Linked DNA regions of Macaca fascicularis. The protein of the gene in region 1 interacts with the protein of each later gene in a biochemical or structural test. Links are inferred from orthologs where the notes say so. Each region holds a gene or a part of one and is shown in the gene's direction. Other genes may lie near its edges.

Region 1 (3,648 bases):
GATACCTTGGACTTGAACAAAATGCATAAGTACACATGCTGACATTGCAAAATTGTAAGTCCACTCAGTAGCTTGAAATTTTTTTCTCATTTTGATTTGATGTAGGTACTTAAAGGTTAGATGCACTTCTGACAAGGTGTGTGTAAAGTTTATGTTTGTAAACCACATCCTATCTTAAATCCAAAAAGAACTCGGGAGTAATTCATTTTTACAGCATAAAGATCCCTAAGTTTTATTTTGAAATATCTGATTTTTACACGTTAAAAAATAGCAGGGCATTGAGAGGATTCCTAGGTGACGTCCAGACTCCTTTAGCTTTGTGTGTGTGGCACCAGTTAGTCTGCTCCCGTCTCCTTTCTTGCACTGCTTCACACAGCCATGCCCTGCCAGCCTGGGCAGGTGCCTTCCTGTGAATGTGCATTTGGACTTCTGCTCATGCTGCCCTCCCTCCCCTCCCCTGCCTTCCAACCCCACCCCTTTTGTTCCTCCATCATTTGTCAAGTACTTCCATGTGTGTACCTCCCCCAGCCAAGCCATAATAGGTGGTTTCCCCTTCACTTCTGTAGCCTTTGCAGACATCCTCTGTTTACAGTAGGTGTTGACTTACTTCCCCTCTCCCCGCTAAAGCCATAAACTCCTTAAGGACAGGTAGCATTTCTTAGTCATCTTCGTTTCCTTGTCAGTGACCAGTAGACCATTAAAACATGTTAGCTAAACAAATGTGAAATGATTTTGTGATGCACACAGCTAACTGAAATACTTCCACCAAAAAAAAAAGGAACCTCATTCCCTCAGTTCACCAAATTGTTATTGTTTTAATTTTAAAATTTTTTTATTTTATTTACGTGGAGTTATCAGAACATATTTTTATTTTTAAATTTCTTAACCAAATTGTGTTAGGCCAACCAGTCTGCCTATGGTAATTTATTAATTTATGTACAAATTCATTAAATGTGGGGTGACTGCCAGGTGTGGGGTATTATGTTAGGCACAGGTGCCAGCAGCCTTCATGGAGCTGCTAGGATTTTTCCAGCAGATGATTGAACTTGTGGGGTCCTTTCTTTTTTTTTTTTTTTTTTTTTGCGGTTGGGTGGGGGAGCGGTGGAGTCTCACCCTGTCGCCCAGACTGGAGTGTAGTGGTGTGATCTCCACTCACTACAACCTCCACCTCCTGGGTTCAACTGATTGTCCTGCCTCAACCTCCTGAGTGGCTGGGATTACAGGTGTGCACCATCACGCCCGGCTAATTTTTTTTTTTTTTTTTTTGAGACAGAGTTTCGCTCTTATTGCCCAAGCTGGAGTGCAATGGCGCAATCTCGGCTCACTGCAACCTCCACCTCCCGGGTTCAAGTGACTCTCCTGCCTCAGCCTACTGAATAGCTGGGAATACAGGCGTGTGCCACCACGCCGGATGCCCAGCTAATTTTTGTATTTTTAGTCGAAACAGGGTTTCACCATGTTGGCCAGGCTGGTCTCTAACTCCCTACTTCATGATCCACCTGCCTCAGCCTCCCAAAGTGCTGGGATTACAGGCGTGAGCCACCGCACCCGGCCTTGTGGGGTCCTTTCAAGCCTTTTGACCCTTGCTTTCTCATCACCATTTTTCTAAAGTTTAGAAGTGAGAATGCTCAGATTTCTTAAACTTGTTCAGGACAATGGCGAAAGTAACAGGAAAAGCAAGAGCATTGCAGTCAGATCTGGATTTACCACGTCCATCTCTGTCCTGTGGTGCAAGTCATTTAACATCTCAGAGCCTCGATAGCTCATCTTTAAAATTAGGATGATCGCACCTCATAAAAATTTTTGTGAAGACTTTTAAAAGATGCTATATAATGTGCTTACACAATACCAAGCACATGGCAGACACCTAATAAAACATCAAGTTCTCTCTTTTCTCCTTGCCTTCAGGATAAAAAGTTTTCTCATGTTACCGGGCGCGGTGGCTCACGCCTGTAATCCCAGCACTTTGGGAGGCCGAGGTGGGCTGATAATGAGGTCAGGAGATCGAGACCATCCTGGCTAACACGGTGAAACCCCGTCTCTACTAAAAATACAAAAAATTAGCCGGGCGTGTGGTGGGTGCCTGTAATCCCAGCCGCTCGGGAGGCTGAGGCGGGAGAATGGCATGGACCCAGGAGGCGGAGCTTGCAGTGAGCTGAGATTGCCCCACTGCACTCCAGCCTGGGTGGCAGAGCGAGACTCCGTCTCAAAAAAAAAAAAAAAAAAAAAAGTGAGTGTTCTTATGTGGAATAGAAATTAAGAATCTAGGGCCGGGCGCGGTGGCTCAAGCCTGTAATCCCAGCACTTTGGGAGCCGAGACGGGCGGATCACGAGGTCAGGAGATCGAGACCATCCTGGCTAACACGGTGAAACCCCGTCTCTACTAAAAACTACAAAAAAAAAAAAAGTAGCCGGGCGTGGTGGCGGGCACCTGTAGTCCCAGCTACTCGGGAGGCTGAGGCCAGAGAATGGCGTAAACCTGGGAGGCGGAGCTTGCAGTGAGCTGAGATCCGGCCACTGCACTCCAGCCCGGGCTACAGAGCGAGACTCCATCTCAAAAAAAAAAAAGAAATTAAGAATCTAGCAGATAGTATTGAGGTGACATTACCAGCCTTGTCTCATTTCCCATGCTTAGTATATTTTATCGTAGGTTTAATCTTCACCTTTTCCAGATTTATTAAAACTAGTGACCCATAACATGGATGAAATGCGAAAATGTCATTGTGACTTCTGAAATAAAAAGCTTAGGTGTGTGTGGCAACTGAACATGTTTCTTTTTCTTTCCATGTATGATGAATTTTGATATGAACAACATGACTTCCTAACTCCAAATCAACCAGAAGAGCCTTTTGGCCAGTGCGCCCTATTGCTCCAGCTCTCAGGCTGGTTGTGCAGTGGGTAGTTTCCTAGCTAGGAACTTTTCTTTCACCCCAGTTCACATCTGGCACACAAGGCAGGCCTCAGTCCATCTGGAGCCCTCCCTACCTTGTGTCCTTTTTCCTTGTTCCACAGACTTGATTAACTGTCAAAATGTTTTGTTTTGTTAATAGGACCTGCTGCAGCTACAATATGAAGGAGTTGCAGTCATGAAATTATTTGATAGAGCTAAAGTAAATGTCAACCTCCTGATCTTCCTTCTCAACAAAAAGTTCTACGGGAAGTAATTGATCATTTGCTGCCAGCCCAGAAAGATAAAGGAAAGAAGCACCTCATAGCTCCTTTCTAGGTCCTTCTTGACTCATTGGAAGCAAAGACCTAGCCCACAACAGCGCCTCAGTCTGATACACTCCCGATGCCACATTTTTAACTCCTCTCGCTCTGATGGGACATTTTGTTACCCTTTTTTCATAGTGAAATTGTGTTTCAGGCTTAGTCTGACCTTTCTGGATTCTTCATTTTCTTCCATTACTTAGGAAAGAGTGGAAACTCCACTAAAATTTCTCTGTTGCTACAGTCTTAGAGGTTGCATTACTTTATTGTAAGCTTTAGTGTTTGTTTTAATTACCAATAGGGATGGTAGGATTCAAATTTTTGTCATTTAGAAGTGGAAGCCATTAGCACCAATGACATACATACAGGATGCACAACTAAAATGTCATGTTATTAACAGTTATTAGGTTGTCATTTAAAAGTAAAGTTCCTTTATAT
Region 2 (4,373 bases), on another chromosome or scaffold:
TGCTGGGATTACAGGTGTGAGCCACCACGCCCGGCCGGCAACACATTTTTTTGACTGAATGGACATGGTTATTGCTGAATAAAGGTATGGTGTATGATTTTATTCTTCCTTATAGTTTTAGATTCTGAATTTCCTAAAAGGACCTAATGTCATTGCACATAGTTATTACATGAAGATAACGAAACGGGGGGTGGAAAGCAGTGCCCTCCGATGGCCCCGAGCAGGAGTTAGTGACAGGGAGCGTGGCTCCTGCAACCACAGTCCCTCTTTTTTTTTTTTAAGACGGACTCTCACTCTGTTTCCCAGGCTGGAGTGCAGTGGTACGATCTCGGCTCACTGCAACCTCTGCCTTCTGGGTTCAAGCGGTTCTCCTGTTTCAGCCTCCCAAGTAGTTGGGATTAAAGGTGCCTGCCACCACATCCGGTTAATTTTTGTATTTTTTATTTATTTATTTTTTGAGACGGAGTCTCGGTCGGTATCCCAGGCTGGAGTGTAGTGGCGCCATATCAGCTTGCTGCAACCTCCACCTCCTGGGTCCCGGTTCAAGCAATTCTCCTGCCTCAGCCTCCCGAGAAGCTGGGATTACAGGCACACGCCACCATGCCCAGCTACTTTTTTTATTTGTTATTTTTAGTAGAGATGGGGTTTCACCATGTTGGCCAGGCTGGTCTTGAACTCCTGACCTCGTGATCCACCTGTTTCAGTTTCCCAAAGTGCTGGGATTACAGGCGTGAGCCACCATTTTGTATTTTTTTTAGTAGAGATGGGGTTTCACCACGTTGATGAGACTGGTCTCGAACTCCTGAACTTGTGATCCACCCGCCTCGGCCTCCCAACCAAAGTGCTGAGATTACAGGCGAGAGGTGAGCCACGGCGCCCAGCCACCACAGGTTCCTTTTTTTTGAGACGGAGTCTGGCTCTGACTCCAGGCTAGAGTGTAGTGGCGCCCTCTCAGCTCACTGCAACCACCGCCTCCCAGGTTCAAGCAATTCTCCTGCCTCAGCTTCCTGAGTAGCTGGGACTACAGGTGCGCGCCTCCACGCCCGGCTAATTTTTGTATTTTTAGTACAGACGGGGTTTCACCATGTTGGCCAGGATGGTCTCAATCTCTTGACCTTGTGATCCTCCCTCCTCGGCCTCCCAAAGTGCTGGGATTACAGGCGTGAGCCACCGCGCCCGACTGACAGGTTCCTCTTAAAGCCTAAACCGTGAACCCCAGGGAAAGGACCTGCAGGTCCGGCCACGCCCAGGCCTCCTTAGCGCGCCAAGATGGCGGCCGCCGCGCCCCGCGGTCGGAGCCGAGCGGTCCCGAGCGCTTCCGAGCATTCCCGAAGTCCAGAGAAACTCCGGGAGCGGCGCGGGCGGGAGCGGCCCCGCCCGGAACCTGGGAGCGGCGACGCCGGCGCGGGGGAGGGGAGGCCGGATGTGAGTGGAGCGGCCATTTCCTGTTTCTCTGCAGTTTTCCTGAGCTTTGGGTGGTGGCCGCTGCCGGGCTTGAGCTTCCAGTCCGCGGAGGGCGAGGCGGCGTGGACAGCGGCCCCGGCACCCAGCGCCCCGCCGCCCTCAAGCCGCGCGCTCGTCCGCCGCGCCCCGAGCCCGCCGCTTCCTATCTCAGCGCCCTGCCGCCGCCGCCGCGGCCCAGCGAGCGGCCCAGATGCAGGCCATCAAGTGTGTGGTGGTGGGAGACGGGTGAGTGCGCGGCCGGGGCCGGACTGGGGACGGCGGGGTCGGGCGCGGGCGGGGGTCTGGCCCGGACTGAGACCCAGGCAGGCAGGCCGCTCGCTGCGGGCTCGCGTAGGCGGTGGGCCTGGGCCTGTATCGCGGGGCGGGGGCCGCGGGCTGGCGCCCCCACTGGACCCTGACTTCCCGGGCGGCGCGTGCCAGGTTCCGGCTCTGGATGGAGGAGGGCCTTGCCGCTCGCCGGCCGGAGGGAAAAGTGAACTCCACCCTCCGGCTTTCTTCCCGGACGCCGCCCGCCGCCCTCCTCGGGAGCGCTCGTAGAGGAAGCGCTCTTGGAGATTTTGACCATTTTTCCAAAAAGGGACTCTTTCTTGTTTTTTGCATGAACCTCTCAATTCGCCTTGAGAGCTGTGTTGGGAACGCGGCGGTCAAGTCGATATTTGATGCATGCTTGATTGTGCGGGCCTCTTTGGTGCCCCCAAACTTTTCTTTAGAAAAACATATTTTTTTTCATAGACCGGTTCTCGCTGTGTTGCACAGGCCGGTCTCGAACTCCTGGGTTCAGGCGATCCTCCCATCCCAGCCTCCCAGAAATGCTGGGATTACAGGCGTGTGCCACCACGCCTGGCTAATCTTTAAAACTTTTTGTAGAAATGGGGGTTGGGGGTCTCGCTGTGTTGTCCAGGCTGGTCTCGAATTGCTGCGCTCAAGTGATCCTCCTGCCTCTCAGCCTCCAAAAGTGCTGGGGTGACACCGCGCCCGGCTTCTAAACTTATTTTCGAGCAGGATTTTTCAACTTACACTTCTGCCACTGTTAGGATTCTTAAAATTGTTGTTTTCGCGTATTCCGTGGAGAAAGTTTTTAAGATGCTGGCTGGGAGGAGCCGGCTGTAAGGGGCACTGTTTTTTCTTTTCTTTCTTTCTTTCTTTTTTTTTTTTTTTTTTTTTTAACGTGGTGTGGTCATTGATAAACTGTTCTTTGCTTAACGCGTTAGGTATGGGATGTAGCAGAACTGGCCCCCTGTGACTCCAGGCATTGCTTTTCATGACTGTCTGTGGTGGTTACAGGCCCTGGAGGAAGACAAGACTTGTCTTATGCAGTTTTTTTCTCCCATAGAAACAAGAATCTCAGTGTAACCCAAGCAAAATCGCGCGTCTCAGCGTTGCTTGTATAGGTTAGTGTTAGCAAGGAAGAATTACTACCAGTTTAATAAAACTCAGTGCAACTGGTACATGTTCCAGTAAAGTCCAAGGCAAGCTCTGGCATCACGGTTAACTGGTTGATATTCTTCAAACTTGTCATTAGGACAGATTTTGGTTCTTGCAATTCAGATGCAAGAAGGATAATTAGACAACTGATTTTTGTAAGATGCCCATCTGTCATATTTGTCTTGGAAATGTGAAATAATATTAATGCCTCATAATTCTGTTTATATAATAACTAAAAATTCTAACTTTCACTTATTTAAGAGTATGTAGGCTATCCAAGGGTTTTTTTTTTTTTTTTTTTTTTTGAGACGGAATCTCATTCTATTGCCCAGGCTGGAGTGCAGTGGCACAATTGCGGCTCACTGCAACCTCCGCCTCCCAGGTTCAAGCGATCCTCCTGCCTCAGCCTCCCTAGTAGTTGGGATTATAGGCATGCGCCACCGTGCCAGGCTAATTTTTGTATTTTTTAGTAGAAACGGGGTTTCACCATGTTGGCCAGGCTGGTCTCGAACTCCTGACCTCAGGTGATCCACCCGCCTGGGCCTCCCAGAGTGTTGGGATTACAGGTGTGAGCCACCGCGCCCAGCCCAATTTTTTTTTTCTTTCTTTCTTTTTTTTTTTTTTTTGAGACAGGGTCTCACTCTGTTGCCCAGCCTGGAGTGCAATGGCGCTCTCTCTGTTCCTGCAACCTCTGCCTCCCGGGTTCAAGCAATTCTCATGCCTCAGCCTCCCAAGTACCTGGGATTACAGGCACACATCACCACACCCAGCTAATTTTATTTATTTATTTTTTATTTTTTTGGTAGAGATAGAGTTTCGCCATGTTGGCCAGGATGGTCTCAAACTCCTGACCTCAAGTGATCCCCCCGCCTCGGCCTGTTTTTTTTTTTTATAAGTCATATTGCTGATAATTATTTGAAAAATGCTGAAACTAAAACATAAGCATAGCAGATACGTTTATTTAATACTAACCGATTAAGGACCTCTGCCGTTTGAATTGGCTGTTTTATCTAGTCAGATAACTTGTCGAATGCCTATCCTGGAATCTGGACCCTCCCTTCAAATACCCACTCCACCGCTTACATGGGGTAACCCTAAGCACATCCCCCACCTCCCAGGAGAGGTGGTTCAGTGGGAGGTCAACAAGAGTAAACAAGATGTTGGTTAACTACTTTGCAGGTGCCCCTTGCTGAGTGCTTAGTAAGTGCCTGGTACTGTTACTGCGGTTTCTACTACAGAGGCTCTGTGAGGGAGTATTAGGTTTAAAAACCTGTGGCCTTGAGTTTTCAGTCTGTGTTTTTTTTTTTAATTAGTTATGAGCATTTGATCAAGCACAGTTTTGTTTTGTTTTTTTTGAGACAGAGTCTCGCTCTGTCGCCAGTTCTGGAGTGCAGTGGCGCAATCTTGGCTCACTGCAAGCTCCGCCTCCCGGGTTCACGCTGTTCTCCTGCCTCAGCCTCCCGAGTAGCTGGGACTACAGGCGC
Region 3 (3,648 bases), on another chromosome or scaffold:
ATACCAATCCCGGACTCCCAGTCCCCTCCTACATTCTGTCCCCAGTGAAATAGTGTTTGATTTTGAGCCTGGCCCAGTGTTCAGAGGTAGTTGGGCTCTTCTTTCTTGTTTTCACCCAAAGCAAACTAAATATAAAACTACAGATGCTGTTTGTGCCTCACCCTCACAGCGTGTGTTTGTAAGTGTGAAAGTTTTCAGTACTAAATTTCTGCTTGGCCTGGCTGGAATGCTCTGAATGTGCTTCTCACACATACTCACTGCCACAAGCTTTCTGTATGCTGTCTGTCATAAATTTTTAAAAGCAAGAAAATCCTGACCTGAGATTTCCATCTTGTTTTTTGTTATTTTATTACTTCCTGGTCTTGATAATTTGTTAAACTTAGTGGGTGGGAATAAATAAGGTGGGTGGGGAAGCGCTTACTGGATTCCTTTGATTTTAATGCATTTAAGTGATTATTCTTGATGGTTTATGATTGTTAATAATTTTTGTGGTTTTTAAGAAAATTGAAGTGTCAGTGGAAACTTCTATTATGAGATTTTATTAGGCTTTTGGCCTTTTTTCAGATTCTGTAATACTAGCTGTGTTTTTTGGGTTTTTCTTTCCTCCAATATGGGATGTGTGTATTTTTGTCAAAGGTAGGGAGCTGTTAAAAAAGAAAAAAAAAAAAAAGATTTATAACATATTTTAGATATTTCAGTGTACTTCAGAAATTTGAGGATTTATCCTTTTAATTATGTCCTAATAGAAGAAAGTTTACAGTATAATTTCATTCTCCCATTTCATCTTGCTGTTTTATTTAGTGGTTAAACTGATTTGTAAAAATTTAAGTTGGGCTAGGCGCGGTGGCTTACGCCTGTAGTTCCAGCACTTTGGAAGGCCAAAGTGGATGGATCACCTGAGGTCAGGAGTTCGAGACCAGCCTGGTCAATATGGTGAAAACCCGTCTCTACAAAAATACCAAAAAAATTAGCCGGGCATGATGGCGGGTGCCTGTAATCCCAGCTACTTGGGAGGCTGAGGCTGGAGAATCACTTGAACCCAGGAGGCGGAGGTTACAGTGAGCCAAGATCGTACCATTGTACTCCAGCCTGGGCGACAGAGTGAGACTCCATCTGGAAAAAAAAAAAAAAAAAAAAAAACTTAAGTCAAAGCTGGGACAGATGTCTTGCTATAAATATTTTTAAAGATTTATATTTACTGACTCTTGCTAGTTAGTATCTGTTACATATTCTGAATGTAGTAATGGTGCTTTAGATATTTGCTCTCTCAGCCCTGCTGTTTCTCAGAAAATCCATAGAATGGGATGGAAGTCATACAGTAGTGAGTAACACAATTAAGTGATACAATAAAACTACTTAGTAGATCATAACTGTGAAGCCTGGTGAAGCAGTTAAGGCTTTATAATGTTGAAAATTATCAATGGGAGGTAGAAAATGGATTGTGCTCTACTTAATAGACATTCTGGACACCATTTTATTTTAGAAAATTGCATATGAGATCATGAAAATTCTACATGGTGATATAATATGATGTAATAATAGTAAATATTTTCTACAGATTTAACATTTAAATGTGGTTATTGGTATCCTTGTTATCTGAAAGATAGTGACTCTTTTTTTCCTTAAGAGTAGCAGTCATTTTTTAAAAAGAATCTATTTTCTTGAGGTCATTTTGTTGTTCTGTATATAGAACTATTACCTGGACATCTGAGTTCTACTCAGCCGTATTCAGGCCCCAGTAAGATTCACTGCCCTGAACCCTTCTGAACCAGGTGCTACTGTACCTTATCTCAGGATGTTTGCCATGAGAAAGGTATGCAACCCTGCCAACGGAGATCACTTCCAAAGAGTATACTCCTCAGGCTCACCTGACCTATAGAATATTTGTATTTATAGTAACTCAGCGGAGAGGCCATAGCGCTTACTTACAAAGCTCTCACTTACAAAGGCAGAGATTTTTCAGAAAGTCTTGAGAAATATGGCTGGCTTTATTTACATTAACTTTGTTTTGCAGGTAACAAATAATCTTTGTTTAATAATGTAAGCCTCTAGGAACCAATGATACTGACCAATATCTCTTAAATAGTAGAGCATGTAGTTTAGGATTGTATTTGAGTTTAGTGATTAATATGAATAAGTCAGATATTTTCAACATTATGGCCATTATTAGAAAATGTTTCCATTTGGGGATTTCCTTTTTTTTTTATATTGATTGGCTGTTGAGGTAATATTAAATAATTAATTAAAAGTGTATTTGTTATATAGGCATTTACATTGATTTTGCTTTTTGATTTTTTTTTCATCAAAGAAACAGAAACTTGGGAGTATTTTTAGTATTTCTATCTTGTTTTAGAGAGATTGTTTTTCTCCTAGATTTTGTACCAGGAAACAAAGTATGTATCTATCATCAGATATCTTAAAGGTCATTAAATTGGCCAGAAAACTAAAAGAAATTATAGTTGTAATCACCAAATGAGGCCCCCTTTTTTTTGTCCCATCCTTTCCAAAAGGTCTATATTTAAATATGCACTACATTTTAAAATTAAGTCTAAATATCCCCCAACCTTCTACCCCTGATAAATTAACATACTTGCTCCTCCTTAATGTATACATTTTTCTTATCACTAATTTAGGATCAACCACAGGTTTGTCTGCCACCCCCCCTGCCTCATTACCTGGCTCACTCACTAACGTGAAAGCCTTACAGAAATCTCCAGGACCTCAGCGAGAAAGGAAGTCATCTTCATCCTCAGAAGACAGGAATCGAATGGTAAGAGTATATAATATCTTTTTTTCTCTGTCTGTCTTCTTAGAAGTCATAGCCAAATGTAATATTATCCTTTAGATATATTATGTCCATATGTGACACAGAACTCCCATAATTAAATTTCAGAGCTGATAGTTTTTTGCTTAAAGCATATTTCCACAGCACTGCTTTCTGCTGTCATCTGTAATATAATTTAGTAGAAGGCAGTTTTGGAAGAGTAACAGTGTTCTGCTTCTAAAATAAGGAAAAAGAGAGAAAACTAGTATTAGAAGGCATGAAAAGGCTGGTCCAGAATTCAGATATCTACCGAAGGACATTCTTCACTATTTAAAAAATCAACTTTCTTCTGCAAAATGAATCCACCATGGCACATGTATACCTATGTAACAAACCTGCACATTCTGCACATGTATCCCAGAACTTAAAGTAAAATTTAAAAATAAAATAAAAAACTAATACTTTTTAGCCATAGTATTGTTACTAATTATTGAATAAGTGGATCTTTTACTCTACCAAAGTACTTTTATATGTTGATTTTTTTTTTTTGAAAGACTGAATTAGATATGATACATAAAGAAATTTAGCACCAATTAAAAAAGAGTGAAACATAAGGTTTTCTTTTTTTGTTTGGTTTGACTTGACTTTTGTACTATATTTATCAAGAAAACACTTGGTAGACGGGACTCGAGTGATGATTGGGAGATTCCTGATGGGCAGATTACAGTGGGACAAAGAATTGGATCTGGTTCATTTGGAACAGTCTACAAGGGAAAGTGGCATGGTAAGTATGTAATGTGGTGACATTGTGACAAGTCATAATAGGATATGTTTAACAACTTTTATTTTGTAAAAACAATCATCAAAGGAAATATTCACTCTTT

The links.
Region 2: the proteins of IQGAP1 (region 1) and RAC1 form a complex in vitro, tested with the Homo sapiens proteins (3 studies listed by BioGRID). The link is inferred for Macaca fascicularis from reciprocal best matches to the Homo sapiens genes IQGAP1 and RAC1.
Region 3: the proteins of IQGAP1 (region 1) and BRAF form a complex in vitro, tested with the Homo sapiens proteins (2 studies listed by BioGRID and IntAct). The link is inferred for Macaca fascicularis from reciprocal best matches to the Homo sapiens genes IQGAP1 and BRAF.

What each region holds. Positions count from the first base shown.
Region 1 is NC_088381.1:75,037,280-75,040,927, forward strand, and holds part of IQGAP1 (ras GTPase-activating-like protein IQGAP1), read left to right. Parts: intron 1-3,050; coding exon 3,051-3,164; 3' UTR 3,165-3,648. UniProt on the Homo sapiens protein: Plays a crucial role in regulating the dynamics and assembly of the actin cytoskeleton.
Region 2 is NC_088377.1:45,992,222-45,996,594, reverse strand, and holds the start of RAC1 (ras-related C3 botulinum toxin substrate 1), read left to right. Parts: upstream 1-1,447; 5' UTR 1,448-1,654; coding exon 1,655-1,689; intron 1,690-4,373. UniProt on the Homo sapiens protein: Plasma membrane-associated small GTPase which cycles between active GTP-bound and inactive GDP-bound states.
Region 3 is NC_088377.1:182,452,028-182,455,675, reverse strand, and holds part of BRAF (serine/threonine-protein kinase B-raf), read left to right. Parts: coding exon 1-86; intron 87-2,633; coding exon 2,634-2,770; intron 2,771-3,430; coding exon 3,431-3,548; intron 3,549-3,648. UniProt on the Homo sapiens protein: Protein kinase involved in the transduction of mitogenic signals from the cell membrane to the nucleus. Phosphorylates MAP2K1, and thereby activates the MAP kinase signal transduction pathway. Phosphorylates PFKFB2.